Linked DNA regions of Anolis sagrei. The protein of the gene in region 1 interacts with the protein of each later gene in a biochemical or structural test. Links are inferred from orthologs where the notes say so. Each region holds a gene or a part of one and is shown in the gene's direction. Other genes may lie near its edges. The genes, in order: PINK1 and BAG2.

What was found.
Region 2: the proteins of PINK1 (region 1) and BAG2 form a complex in vitro, tested with the Homo sapiens proteins (2 studies listed by BioGRID). The link is inferred for Anolis sagrei from reciprocal best matches to the Homo sapiens genes PINK1 and BAG2.

What each region holds. Positions count from the first base shown.
Region 1 is NC_090033.1:19,646,526-19,654,729, reverse strand, and holds the start of PINK1 (serine/threonine-protein kinase PINK1, mitochondrial), read left to right. Parts: upstream 1-5,121; 5' UTR 5,122-5,214; coding exon 5,215-5,520; intron 5,521-8,204. Other genes in the region: CDA (cytidine deaminase), read left to right, coding at 866-994. UniProt on the Homo sapiens protein: Serine/threonine-protein kinase which acts as a sensor of mitochondrial damage and protects against mitochondrial dysfunction during cellular stress.
Region 2 is NC_090021.1:118,661,594-118,669,612, reverse strand, and holds the start of BAG2 (BAG family molecular chaperone regulator 2), read left to right. Parts: upstream 1-4,866; 5' UTR 4,867-4,915; coding exon 4,916-5,073; intron 5,074-8,019. UniProt on the Homo sapiens protein: Co-chaperone for HSP70 and HSC70 chaperone proteins. Acts as a nucleotide-exchange factor (NEF) promoting the release of ADP from the HSP70 and HSC70 proteins thereby triggering client/substrate protein release.

The sequences.
Region 1 (8,204 bases):
GCCAACGTCAGGATAACACCAAGTTTCATGTAAAGTCTTCATCTTTGGAAACTAGGCACTTGAATCCATGAGCAACACAAGATGATGGTGATAATGATCATGTCCTGCTTTTATCTCTTGATGGAGATGCAAAGTAATTCCAGGAAGAGATGATGATGGGAGACAATTGCTTCAGTTGAGGCAACGTCAGGATAACGCCAAGTTTCATGTAAAGTCTCCATCTTTGGAAACTAGGCACTTGAATCCATGAGCGACACAAGATGATGATGATAATGATCATGTCCTGCTTTTATCTCTTGATTGGGATGCAAAGTAATTCCAGGAAGAGATGATGATGTTGCTTCAGTTGAGGCAACGTCAGGATAACACCAAGTTTCATGTAAAGTCTCCATCTTTGGAAACTAGGCACTTGAATCCATAAGCGACACAAGATGATGATGATAATGATCATGTCCTGCTTTTATCTCTTGATTGAGATGCAAAGTAATTCCAGGAAGAGATGATGACGTTGCTTCAGTTGAGGCAACGTCAGGATAACACCAAGTTTCATGTAAAGTCTCCATCTTTGGAAACTAGGCACTTGAATCCATGAGCGACACAAGATGATGATAATGATCATGTCCTGCTTTTATCTCTTGATTGGGATGCAAAGTAATTCCAGGAAGAAATGATGATGTTGCTTCAGTTGAGGCAACGTCAGGATAACGCCAAGTTTCGTGTAAAGTCTCCATCTTTGGAAACTAGGCACTTGAATCCATGAGCAACACAAAATGATGATAATGATGATAATGATGATGATGATGATGGGAGAGTTGCAGTTTTCCAAAGCACATGCCATTCATTCTACCTTTCCCTTTCTCCTTAGTTTGGCAAAGACTGGGACATCTACCTGACCAAGGCAGGGGACGACGAGACCTACATCCACAAGACCTTGGAAGAACTCTTGCCCCTTTCTTTTGGACCGGAAAACCTCCAAAAACTGGGGGGAAATTGAATATATTTGCATATATTTGAATCTCAAAGGGACTGCGGATGGGTTGGGGATATATTATTATTATTATTACAATTTACTTCACTTATATACCGCTTTTCTCAGCCCTCAAAGTGGTTAACAGCAGCAATTTCAATGCACACATTACCAAACCATTAGAACATTTAAAAACAATAGCATAACAACGATTAAACATCAATATGACAAATCATTTGTGTCTCGTCAATAGAATCAGAATCCAATCTCATCATCCGTTATTCCGTGTTCCTGTAATCAATTACACTGCCTGTTCGAACAACCAGGTCTTCACTTTGCCAATAAGGAGGGGGCCGATCTGATATCTGTAGGAAGGGCGTTCCACAGCCGAGGGGCCACCACTGAGAAGGCCCTGTCTCTCGTCTCCGCCAGGTGTACTTGTGATGCCGACGGGACCGAGAGCAGGGCCTCCCCAGACGATCTTAACGTCCTAACTGGTTCATAGGAGGAGATGCGTTCAAACAGGTAAGTTGGGCCAGAACTGTTTGCAGTGTTTCTCAACCTGGGGGTCGGGACCCCTGAGGGGTCCCGACCCCCCCGTCAGAGGGGTCGCCAAAGTCAGAGGGGTCCCGTCAGAGGGGTCGCCAAAGACCATCAGAAAACACAGTATTTTTTTGTTGGTAATGGGGGTTCTGTGTGAGAAGTTTGGCCCAATTCTATTGTTGGTTGGGTTCAAGATGCTCTTTGACACTAGGTGAACTATACATCCCAGCAACCATAACTCCCAGATGGTAAGGTCTATTTCCCTCAAACTCCACCAGTGTTCACATTTGGGCATATTGAGCATTCGTGCCAAGTCAGGTCCATCATTGTTTTAGTCCACAGTGCTCTCTCGATGTAGGTGAACTACAACTCCCAAACTCAAGGTCCACCAAACCCTCCCAGTATTTTCTGTTGGTCATGGAAGTTCTGTGTGCCAAGTTCAGTTCCATCCTTGGTTAAAAATGCTCCTGGATTGTCCAGTGAATTTGGTCCAGTGAATGAAAATACATCTAGCAAATCAGATATTTGCATTACGATTCATAACAGGAGCAAAATTCCAGTTCTGAAGTGGCAACAGAAATAATGTTTTGGTTAGGGGTCACCACAACATGAGAACCGTATTAAGGGGTCGGGACATGAAGAAGGTTGAGAACCACTGGTTTAGGGCTTTATAGGCTAAGGCCAGCACTTTGAATTGTGCCCAGTAGCAGACTGGTAGCCAGAGGAGCTGGCGCAACAGAAGAGTGGTGTGCTCCCTGAGTGCTGATCCTGTTAGGAACCTGGCTGCCGATCGTTGGACCATTTGAAGCTTCCGAGCAGTCTTCAAAGGCAGCCCCATGTAGAGAGCATTGCAGTAGTCTATACAGGATGTAACCAGTGCATGGACTACCGTGGCCAAGTCAGACTTCCCAAGGTACGGGCACAGCTGGCGCACAAGTTTTAACTGTGCGAATGCTCCCCTGGTCACTGCCGAAACCTGGGGTTCCAGGCTCAGCGATGAGTCCAGGGTCACACCCAAGCTTCAGGGGAAGTGCGACCCCATCCAGCACAGGCTGTGACCCTATACCCTGTTCGGCCTTACGACTGATCAGGAGTACCTCTGTCTTGTTTGGATTCAATTTCAATTTGTTCGCCCTCATCCAGACCGTCACAGCGGCCAAGCACCGGTTCAAGGTCTGGACAGCCTCCTTAGAAGTAGGTGGGAAGGAGAGACAGAGTTGGACATCATCCGCGTACAGATGACATCGCACCCTGAAACTCCGGATGATCTCCCCCAGCGGCTTCATGTAGATGTCAAACAACATGGGAGACAAGACTGAACCCTGAAGAACCCCACAAGACAAAGGTTGTGGAGTTGAACAGGAGTCTCCCAGTAACACCTCTAGGAAGGACCGGAGACACTGCAGAACAGTGCCTCCAAGGCCCATTCCAGAAGGATACCGTGGTTGACGGTATCGAAGGCCGAAGAGAGGTCCAGCAGAACCAACAGGGACACACTCCCCCTGTCCAGCTCCCGGCGGAGATCATCCACCAAGGCGACCAAGGCCGTCTCGGTTCCATGTCCCGGTCTGAAACCAGACTGTGCCGAATCCAGATAATCCGTGTCGTCCAAGAATGCCTGGAGTTGTGAGGCCACCACACGTTCCAGGACTTTGCCCAAGAAGGGGAGATTGGAAACAGGCTGAAAGTTGTCGAATTGAGTGGGGTCCAGTGATGGTTTCTTCAACAGCGGTTTGATTATAGCTTGTTTTAGGCTCGCTGGAATTTTGCCTTCCCGAAGGGAGGCGTTAACCACCACCTTAACCCACCCAGCCAATCCCCCTCTGGCCTCCTTCAGAAGCCAGGATGGGCAGGGGTCTAGGATGGACGTGGTCATTCCTCCAAGCACCTTGTCCACATCCTCAGGTTTCACCAATTGAAATGAATCCATCAAAATGGGACAAGCAGATTTATTTCGGTTTCTTTTACCCCGCCCTTCTCACCCCGGAGGGGACTCAGGGAAGTTGATGCCCTGATTTCTCCCGGGAGTGAGTTCCACAAGTGAGGGGCCACCACTGAGAAGGCCCTGCTCCTCGTCCCCACCAGCCTCACTTGTGATAGCGGTGGGGTCAAGAGCAGGGCCTCCCCAGATGATCTCAGACTCCGGGGTGGGACGTAGAGGGAGATCCGTTCGGACGGATACGCTGGACCGGAACCATATAGGGTTTTGTAGGTCAAAACCAGCACTTTGAATTGTGCTCGGAACTGAACTGGCAGCCACTGGAGCTGACACAACCCTGTATGTCGCTCCGGTGAGCAATCTGGCTGCCGCTCGCTGGACCAGTTGAAGTTTCCGAACAGTCTTCAAGGGCAACCCCACGTAGAGTGCGTTGCAGTAGTCTATACGGGATGTAACAAGGCTGTAGACCACTGTGGCCAGATCAGACTTCCCAAGGAACGGGCACAACTGGTGCACAAGTTTTAATTGTGCAAAAGCTCTCCCAGCCACCGCCGAGACCTGGGGTTCCAGGCTCAGCCATGAGTCCAGGATGACCCCCAAGTCTTCAGGGGGAGTGTAACCCCGTCTAACACAGGCTGTGACCCTATGCCCTGTTCGGCCTTGCGATTGACCAGTAGGACCTCTGTCTTGTCTGGATTCAATTTCAATTTATTAGCTCTCATCCAATCCGACACAGCGGCCAAGCACCGGTTCAAGGTCTGGACGGCCTCCTTGGTGACAGGTGAGGAGTGACAGATCTGGACGTCATCTGCATAGAGATAACATCTCAATCCGAAACTCCCCCAGCGGCTTCATGGCCTTTGGGAGTCCCTTCCGACTCTAGGATGCTATTATTATTATTATTATTATTATTATTATTATTGGAACTTGGATGACTCTAGGTGTCTATTATTATTATTATTATTATTATTATTATTATTATCAGAGCTTGGATGAGCATCTGTCTGGATGGTTTTGATGGTGTTTCCCATTATGTCAGAAGGGGGTTGGACTGGATGACCTTTGGGGGTCCCTCCCGACTCTAGGATTCTATTATTATTATTATTATTATTATTATTATTATTATTATTATTAGCAGAGTTTGGATGACCATCTGTCTGGACGGTTTTGATGGTGTTTCCCATTATGTCAGAAGGGGGTTGGACTGGATGACCTTTGGGGGTCCCTCCCGACTCTAGGATTCTATTATTATTATTATTATTATTATTATTATTATTATTATTATTAGCAGAGCTTGGATGACCATCTGTTTGGACGGTTTTCATGGTGTTTCCCATTATGTCAGAAGGGGGTTGGGCTGGATGACCTTTGGGGGTCCCTTCCGACTCTAGGATTCTATTATTATTATTATTATTATTATTATTATTATTATTATTATTATCAGAGCTTGGATGAGCATCTGTCTGGACGGTTTTGATGGTGTTTCCCATTATGTCAGAAGGGGGTTGGACTGGATGACCTTTGGGGGTCCCTTCCGACTCTAGGATTCTATTATTATTATTATTATTATTATTATTAGTATTATTATTATTATTATTAGCAGAACTTGGATGACCATCTGTCTGGACGGTTTTGATGGTGTATCCCTGAAGGAAACGCAATAGCCTTCTGCGCATGCGCAAGGATGGCCTAGCAGGAGGAAAGAGGCCCCGCCTCGTGGGCGTCACAATCCCGGCCACAACAACAACTCCAGCTCGGGGCTGCGATGGCGCTCCGGCAGGCGCTAGGCCGCGGGGCCCGCTTGGGCCGGGCCTTGCTATGGCGCTGGGTCGGAGGAGCGCCGCGGCCTCCACTTCCGGTTCATCCCCCCGCAGCCGTTCCCCTCCGCCCGGGGGGCTTCCTACGCGAGGCCGCGGCTTGGCTAGGCCTCACCCGGAGCCCGCGCTTCTTCCACCCAAGGGTCCCGCTTGGGCCTCGCCGCCTCGGCTTAGCCTTCAGCCTCGGGCTCGCGTTGTTTGAGCCCGCGCTGGCCGAGCAGAGGAGGGCGGACGAGGCTTGCCAGGACATCCAGGTGGGCGGATACAAATCGAGTCAGGCGTCCGCTGGCGGACTAGGCCTCGTTGCCGTGGAAACGGTACTCTCTAGGACTTGTTGCCAAGGAAACGGGAGAGTAGTCGCAGGTGGAGACGGGAAGGCTTTTGCGCAGGCGCAGAAGGATGAGCCATCATGGCGGCCAAAAAAATATCACAATTAGAATATAATATGAAAATAATAGAGAATTAAATAGAAAATAAATAATATAAATAACATGAAAATAATAGAAAAATATGAAATAATAGGAAATAATAATAGAAAATAATATAAACTTAAATATAAACTTAAATATAAAATAAATAATAGGAAATAATAATATAAAATAATATTAATTTAAATATAAAAATATAAAATAAAAATATAGAATAATATGAAAATGATATAAAATATGAAATAATATGAAATAATAATATAAAATTAAAGTAAATTAAATATAAAAATATAAAATAATATGAAAACAATATAAATATATGAACTAATAATATAAAATATTAAAAAAGAATATTATTTTACAATAATATAAAATACAATATAATGAAATAGATATAAAATATAAAATAAAAATATAGAATAATATTTTATAATAATATAAAACAATATAAAATTAAATATAAAATAAATAATCTGAAAATAATATGAAATAATAATATAAAATAATATAACATTATAAAATAAATAATATGAAATAATATGAAACAATAATATAAAATAATATAAATTTAAATATAAAATAAATAACATGAAAATAATATAAAATAATATGAAATAGTAATATGAAATAATATAAATTTAAATATAAAATAAATAATATAAAATAATATAAAAATATGAAATATGAAATAATGTAAAATAATATAAAGTTAAATATAAAATAAATAATATGAAAATGGTATAAAAATATGAAATAAAAATATAGAATAATATGAAAATAATATAAAAATATAAAATAATATGAAATAATAATATAAAATAATATAAAATTAAATATAAAATAAATAATATAAAATAATATAAAAATATGAAATAATATGAAATAATAATATAAAAGAAATAATATGAAAGTAATATAAAATATAAAATTAAATATAAAATAAATAACATGAAAATAATATAAAATATGAAATAATATGAAATAATAATGTAAAATAATATAAAATTAAATATAAAATAAATAATATGAAAATAATATAAAATATAAAATAATATGAAATAATGTAAAATAATATAAAATAAAATATTAAATAAATAATATAAAATAATATAAAATATGAAATAATAATATAAAATAATATAAAATTAAGTATAAAATAAATAATATAAAATAATATAAAATATGAAATAATATGAAATAATGTAAAATAATATAAAATAAAATATAAAATATAATCATATAAAAGAAGGAAGAAATAAGGAAATAGATATAAAATAAATAAAAATATCGAATAATATGAAAATAAAATAAAAATATGAAATAATAATATAAAATATAATCATATAAAATAATTAAAAGATATAGAATAATATGAAAATAATATAAATATATGAAATAATATGAAATAATAATATAAAATAGAATCATATAAAAGGAGGAAGAAATAAGGAAATGGATATAAAATAAATAAAAATATAGAATAATATGAAAATAAAATAAAAATATGAAATAATAATATAAAATATAATCATATAAAATAATTAAAAGATATAGAATAATATGAAAATAATATAAATATATGAAATAATATGAAATAATAATATAAAATAGAATCATATAAAAGGAGGAAGAAATAAGGAAATGGATATAAAATAAATAAAAATATAGAATAATATGAAAATAATATAAATATATGAAAATAATATAAAATATAATAATATAAAATAACATGAAATCTTTGTATAAACAAGGAAGAAATAAATAGATATAAAATAAAGATATAGAATAATATGAAAATAATATAAATATATGAAATATTAATATAAAATATAATCATAAAATATAATCATATAAAAGGAAGAAATAAGGAAATAGATATAAAATTAAAATAAAAAATATATAGAATAATATGAAAATAATATGAAATAATAATAAAAGATATAATCATATAAAAGAAGGAAGAAATAAGGAAATAGATATAAAATAAATATAAGATATAGAATAATATGAAAATAATATAAATATATGAAAATAATTATTATATTTTATAATAATATAAAATAATATGAAATCTTTGTATAAACAGAAGGGAGAAATAAGGAAATATAAAATGAAAACAAAATAAAAATATAGAATAATATGAAAATAATATAAATATATGAAATAATAATATAAAATATAATAATATAAAATATAATAATATAAAATATAATAATATAAAAGGATGAAATAAGGAAATAGATATAAAATAAATATAAAATATAGAATAACATGAAAATAATATGAAATAATAATATAAAATATAATAATATAAAATAACACGAAATATTTGTATAAACAGAAGGAAGAAATAAGGAAATAGATATAAAATGAAAATAAAATAAAAATATAGAATAATATGAAAATAATATAAATATATGAAATAATAATATAAAATATAATCATATAAAAGAAGGAAGAAATAAGGAAATAGTTATAAAATAAATAAAAATATAGAATAACATGAAAAT
Region 2 (8,019 bases), on another chromosome or scaffold:
AAGGCCCTCCTGGCCACCGCAGATACATGGGCCTCCATGTTCAGTGCTGAGTCTAGGAAGATCCCCAAACAGTGGGCCTGTGTCTTCAGGGGAAGTGTGACCCCATCCACTACAGGCTGGATACCTATTCCTTGGCCTGCCTTCTGAATGACCAGGAGTACTCCTGTCTTGTCTGGATTAAATTTCAAATTGTTTACCCTCATCCAGTCCATTACTGATGGCAGACATTGGTTTGGGGTTAGGAGAGCTTCCTTGGCAATAGATGGAAAGGCGTAGTAGAGTTGGGTATCATCTGCATATGCAATATGGCACCGTACTCCAAAACTCCGGATGACCTCTCTCAGTGATTTCATGTATATGTTAAACAGCACAGGGGGATAAAATAGGCATAGAATAGAAATAGACAAATCCAGGTTTCCTGAGATTTTTAGGTTATATGTTGAATGAGAAAATCAAACCACCGCCTGCAATAGTCTAGGGCAGGGGTCCTCAAACGTTTTAAACAGGGCCAGGTCAGAGTCCCTCAAACTGTTGGAGGGCCGGATTATAATTTGAAAAAAAATATGAATGAATTCCCATGCACACTGCACATATTTTATTTGTAGTGCAAAAAACACTTAAAACAATACAATAATTAAAATGAAGAACGATTTTAACAAACATAAACTTATTAGTATTTCAGTGGGAAGTGTGGACCTGCTTTTGGCTGATGAGATAGGATTGTTGTTGTTGTTGTTGTTGTGTGCTTTCAAGTCATTTCAGACTTAGGTTGACCCTGAGTGAGGGCCGGGTAAATGACCTTGGAGGGCCATATCCGGCCCCCAGGCCTTAGTTTGAGGACCCCTGGTCTAGGGGGAAATGTAAGCTATCCTTAGGAAAGACCTTAAATACTTCGAGCAGTTCCCTACATGTCTCATTCCCTTGCTATAAGGAGACCAACAAATATTGTCCATCTTTGGGGTGACTATCACATTTCAGAAGGGTGTTGGTGAGTAGCATTCCCATCTTTTTCATACAGTCTCAATCACCTAATCAATACCCTTCAAGATCTAAGTGCTGTATTCTATTACTAATCCAACTGGAATAAAATTCTAATTCAAACTAGACACGTGTATTAACATTCTCTGCTAAAGTGCTCCTTTTTTCACTTCATTAACTTTTAATTCCCAAAGTCTACCCACAGCATGCAATCTGAATGTTGCTATTACCACCCTCTTCCCACCAGGGACCATCCTTCGTCCATTGACACATTCTGCTGTAACAATATCCACATGTTTTTGCTTTTAGCCATGCGGATATAGCTGTGCGAATCTTCCCCGAGGGAGTGAGTGCCGGTCAACCTGCCCACAAATAAGCCCTGTAAGATGATCCTGTCCAGAAAGTATTCTGTTAACACCTACGCTCTGAATAGCAAGCCATGTGAAAATAGCACCTTTGTTTTTTCTGAAGGGGAGAAAAACTCCCCATAGAAAAGGTACAGCACGGCTCTATATCAACTCCATGCGGCATGGTCAATGTCTTTACAACATGCACTTTTATAGTGTCTGGCGGACCATGAGTTTCTGTACTCGTGCTTTCAGGGCTATGGAGAAAAGGGGTTGAGCTAGAAAGCATCAAACCTTTTAAAGCTATGTAACGAAACCCATGAGTGAGTGAATACCATCTTGACGCACAGTCTTCTAGTCCTTCCAATTATGGTTAACATTATTGAACTCTGAAGCCACAACATACTTCCTTTCATAAAAGGAAAGTCTTCTGTCATCTTCAAGTACCTATTTATAAAAAGACTTCCAGTTGCTGTTAAGGCCCCTAACAAAATGACTTTACAGTACTGTTTGATGTGCCACAACTTTCAGGAACTTAAACTAGCAATTATAGCCTAAGTTACGATTGCAGTCTGATTTTTGGAAATCTCCCAGCCACCAATTGAACCAATTTCTCCCTCCATCAAAATCTGACTCATGAAAAAAGATAAATGTTTCCCCTTGACATTAAGTCTAGTTGTGTCCAACTCTGGGGGTGGCACGCATCTCCATTTCTAAGCCGAAGAGCAGGCGTTGTCTGTAAACACCTCCAAGGTTATGTGGCCAGCATGATTACATGGAGCGGCAGAAGCTGGGGCTAACAGCGGGAGCTCATGCTGCTCCTTGGATCTGAACCGCTGACCTTTTGGTCAGCAAGTTCAGTAGCTCAGCGGTTTAACCTGCTGCACCACTGGGGGTTCCATCGGGGCTCAAGAAAGAGCCAGGCTGGGTTGTCGGTTTTTTGGGCTATATGACCATGTTCTAGATGCATTCTCTCCTGACGTTTTGCCTGCATCTATAGCAGGCATCCTCAGAGGTTGTGAGGTCTCACAAATGTTGAGGTCTATTTTCCCCAAGCCCCACCATTAACATTTCGGCCTATTGAGTATCCGTGCCAAGTTTGGTCCAGATTAATCACTGTTTGAGTCCACAGTGCTCTCTGGATGTAGGTGAACTACAACTCACAAACTCAAAGTCAATGTCCACCAAACCCTCCCAGTATTTTCTGTTGTCTATGGGAGTTCTGTGTGCCAAGTTAGCTTCAATTCCATCGTTGGTGGAGTTCAGAATGCTCTTTGATTGTAGGTGAACTATAAATCCCAGCAACTACAACTCCCAAATGACAAAAATCAATCTTCCCCCCAACCCCACCAGTATTCAAATTGTTTGTGCCAAATTTGGTCCAGTGAATGAAAATACATCCTGTATATCAGATTTTACATTACAATTCATAATACTAGCAAAATTACAGTTATGAAGTCGCAGCGAAAATAATGTTATGGTTGGGGGTCACCACAACATGAGGAACTGTACTAAGGGGTCTACCATTAGGAAGGTTGAGAAACACTGGTCTACACTCTCACACTCTCTTGCTGTCCTTAATGTAGTGTTGCTGTATTTTTGAAAATTAACTTCAGTTGTGTTTTTTTAAAATAACATTTTCTAGGAAAAAATCTAAATTGGTAAGAAATACTTTTGTAAAAAACCCTGTCCTCTTCTTTGAAAAGAAGGTTGAGAAACCAAATCACTGCAGTGCAGTTAAAGAAAGGAAAGTTTGTGCCAGCCCTTGGCATGCGCTCAAGAGACTGCAGGGCTGCTGGGTCCTAATAGAAACTTAAGAGGAAGAAAGGACTTGTTAGAGCAGGCAAAACCTTTCACTTTTGGGAGAGCATCAGGACAGCTTTTATGAGTGGAGGAAAAAAGTTGATATTCCAACTCTAGGATTCTAAGCTGTGTGAGTGCATCTGTTTATGTAGGTGTGTTTTGAATGAGGTCTATCATATCTATGACTGTATAGCCATCTATCTGGAAGGCTTTTGTAGTGTCTTCTTGCAGGCAGAAGAGGGTTAGACTGGATGGCCCCTTGGGTCCCTTCCAGCTCTAGGATTCTAAACTGTGTACGTGTGTGTGTTTATTGAATGATGTCTATCATATCTATGATTGTCTGGCTATCCACCTGGAAGGCTTTGGACACCCACTTTTGCATGGCAGAAGTGGGTTGGACTGGATGGTCCTTGTTGTCTCTTACAGATCTATGATCTCTACTGTTTGTATGTATGTATGTATGTGTGTGTGTGTGTATATATATAGAGAGAGAGAGAGAGAGAGAGAGAGAGAGAGAGAGCACCTGTTATAACTATGACTGGCTGGCCATCTGTCTGAAAGGTCTTGATGGTGTCTTCTTGCATGGCAGAAGTGGGTTGGACTGAGTGGTCCTTATGATCTCTTCCAGATCTGTGACATCTATTGTGTGTATATGTGTAAAAAAATATTTTAAATGTCTGTCATATCTAGGCTAGCTGGCCATCTGCCTGGAAGTCTTTGGTGGTGTCTTCTTGCAGGGCAGAAGAGGGTTGGACTGGATGGCCCCTTGGGGTTCCTTCCAACTCTAGGATTCTAAATTGTGTGTGTGTGCATGTATTGAATGACGTCTATCATATCTATGATGGCCTGGCCATCTGACTGGAAGGCTTTGAGGGTGTCTTCTTGTGTGGCAGAAGAGGGTTGGACTGGAGGGGCCTTGTGCTCTCTTACAGATTTATGATATCTATTGTGTGTGTGTGTATACGTGTGTGTATAGCCTGTCACAATTATGGCTGGCTGGTCATCTGTTTGGAAGGCTCTGATGGTGTCTTCTTGTGTGGCAGAAGAGGGTTGGACTGGATGGTCTTTGCGGTCTCTTACAGATCTATATCTATTGCTTGTGTGTGTGTATATATATGTGTGTGTGTGTGTGTGTAGCCTGTCACAACTATGGCTGGCTGGTCATCTGTCTGGAAGGCTCTGATGGTGTCTTCTTGCATGGCAGAAGAGGGTTGGATTGGATGGTCCTTGTGGTCTCTTCCAAATCTATTATATCTATTGTGTGTACGTGTGTGTGTATACACACACACACACACACACACACTATATATATATATATATATATATATATATATATATATATATATATACGCACGCACACATTCTCTCCTCCCCTCTCTCTTTCTATATACTGTATATAATATCTGTCATAACAATGGCTGTCTGGCCATCTGCCTGGAAGGCTTTGATGGTGTCTTCTTGCATGGCAGAAGTGGGTTGGGCTGGATGGTCCTTGTAGTCTCTTCCAAATCTATGATATCGATTGTGTGTGTGGGTGTGTATATATATATATATATATAAAATGTCTGTCCTAACTATGGCTGTGGCCATCTGCCTGGAAGGCTTTGGTGGTGTCCAACATTGTGGGAGTTGAAGTCCAAAACAGCTGGACTGGAGAGCAGCCTGGACTGGAGACTGGAGAAGGGCGGGCAGGCGTGCCCTGGGCGGCCCTGCTGCCTGTCCTCCTTGTTCGGGAGGGAGGAGCCTCGGGCGGCGCAGGCAGAGGGAGAAGCTGAGGCGGAGCGGCGATGGCCCAGGCCAAGAGCAGCGCCTCCAAAAGCCTCCTCGCTTCGGAGCCCGGGGAAGGGGGAGTGCCGCCGCCTCGCCGGGGCCGCTTCTTCCGCTCCACTTCCATGGCCGACCGCTCCAGCCGCCTCCTGGAGAGCCTCGACCAGCTCGAGCTCAGGTCAGGCACCAGCCCAAGGGGAAGGAGGGAGCGCGCGGGTGAGCGGGCGGGCGGGCAAGCAAGAGGCGCGTGCACCGTGGACTAGGCGAAGGGAAGCCGCGCTGCAGGCCATCCCCAGAGTTCTCCTCTCCTGCCTCTCCAAAACACACAACTTCAATGACACCGCTTTGTACTGGGGTCTTGGAAGTTGTAGTTTGGAGACGCACTTGCACCCTTTGGCAGAGGAGGCTGAAGGCTTGTTTTTTTAAGACTACAATTCCTATGATTCCATAGCATTGAAACAGGGCAGGTCAAAGTGGTGCCAAGGTGCATTCAGGCTACAGGGTAGATCAGGCACGAGCAAACTTGGGCCCTCCCTCCAGGGGTTTTGGACTTCAACTCCCACCATTCCTAACAGCCTCAGGCCCTTTCCTTTATCTACTTTATCTCCTGTGCCTTTTTTGTTGCAGGTTGTGGGCCTATTTGGCCCAGCATAAACACAGAACCAGTCTGCCCCACAGTCTGTCTTCATTATTATTATTATTATTATTATTATTATTATTATTATTATTTACGACATTTATATGCCGCCCTTCTCACCCCAAAGGGGACTCAGAGCAGCTTACTATACACACACACACACACACACACACACACACACAATATATATATATATGTATGTATGTATTGTATTGTATTGTATTGTATTGTATTGTATTGTATTGTATTGTATTGTATTGTTGAAGGCCTTTATGGCCGAAATCACTGGGTGACCCTTCTGATAACCCCTCATGACCCCCCCCCCCCCCAGGGTCCCGACCCACAGGTTGAGAAATGCTGCCATCCAGTCCAACTCCCTTCACCAGTGCAAGAAAACACAATCTAAGCCTTCCTGACAAAAAGCCATCCAGTCATATAGATATATAGATATGATTCACACACACACACATATGTATATGACAGATATAGTATCCTAGATTTGAAAGGGACCTCTAAAGAAGGACAATGATATGTTGCCTGTTTCAGAGTAGGCAAACCTGACAATCTCTACATCAAGACTGACAAAGAAACAGCAAGAAATACTGTTTACCCACAAGCAGAAAGAAATTACCTATATTAGAAACCAACACTTTCTCATTACTTTATTTTCCAGATCACCAGATTGGGCCACAGCAACGCATGGCAGGGGACAGCTACTCTATATAAATAAAAATGTAATGTTTGTTTGTGAGATTAACATAACTCAAAGTCCACTGGATGAATTGCTGTCAAATTTGGCCACAAGACACCTTCTAACCCAAGAAGTGACCATCACTAAAAAAATGATTTTGTCATTTAGGAGTTGTATTTGATGGGATTTATAGTTAACCTACAATCAAAGGGCATTCTGAACCCCACCAATGATGGAATTCAAACAAATGTGGCACACAGGACTCCCATGACCAACATGGGCATTTATGGGCATTGATCTTAAGTTTGGGAGTTGTAGTTCACCTTCATCCAGAGAGCACTGTGGATTCACACAATGATCCAGACCAAATTTAGCACAAATATTTCATATGCCCAAATATGAACACATGGAGTTTGGGGGAAATAGACCTTTACATTTGGGAATTGTAGTTGCTGGGATTTATAGTTCACCTACAATCAAATAGCAATCTGAACCCCACCAAATGACAGAATTGGGCCAAACTTCCCACACAGAACCCCCATGACCAACAGAAAATACTCAAATACTCAAGGCCATCCAGTCCAACTCCCTTCACGAGGGCAAGAAAACGTAATCAAAGCCCTCCTGACAAAGAGCCATCCAGCCATAGATGTAGATAGATATATATGATTCACACACACACACACACACTACTATAGTATCATAGATTGGAAAGGGACCCTAAACAAGGACAATTCTATGTTGCATGTTCCAGAGGAGGCAAACCAGGCAATCTCCAACACTGACAAAGAAACAACAAGAAATACTGTTTACCTACAAGCATAAAGAAATGACAGATTAGAAACCAACGCTTTCTCGTTACTTTATTTTCCGGATCACCAGACCGGGCCAGAGCAATGTCTGGCAGGGAACGGCTAGTAACCATATTAAAAAAAATGTAATGTTTCTGAGATTAACATAGCTCAAAAACCACTGGATGAGTTGACATCAAATTTGGACACAATACACCTATCAGGCCATTGAGTGACCACCACTCCTAAAAACACTGAAAAACACAGCGGAAGGGACTTAAAATCCAAAAAACCAAAAAGACTCTACAACGCATGCACAAAAATTACTCTCCTGGTAAACAAAACACACAAAAGCATATCCACACTCTCTTTCGGACTACAGCTCCCAGCATCCCCTAGACCAGGCCCTTTAGGAGAGGAGGATGATCCAAATGCACTGCTTCCAGGATGCAAGCTTTCTTCTCCTTGGATTTCTTTGAGAGCATCCCAATCCCTGCATATTTCCAATTTCCTATTCCTGGACTGCAACTCCCAGCAACCCTCCCAGCTAGTTTTTTATATAGTAAACGAGGAACATGAACACAATAAAAGCACCCTCAGTACTAATTTTGCTCTAATTGGGAAGCTATGCTCGCTTTGCCATTAGTAATAGATATGCTATAAGGAGAGAGTTTCGTATTCGAAGTAGCCAAACCTGTCCCATAAATTACTACCTCTGTATTTTCCCAGACATGAAAGGAATGGAAAAGGTGTAGCAATTGAAATGCTGTGGTTGGCCTGTTCCATTTGGGACTTGAAGGGCTACAGCCCGGGTACTGATTTACCATCTGGACTGAGCACCAAATCATCTGGAGCAGGCATCCTCAAACTGCAGCCCTCCAACTGTTTTGGCCTTCAACTACCACCAAAATTCCTGACAATTAAACAAGCTCATTAGGGCTTCTGGGAGTTGGAGGCCCAAACAGCTGGAAGGCCGCAGTTTGAGGATGCCTGATCTGGAGTTTT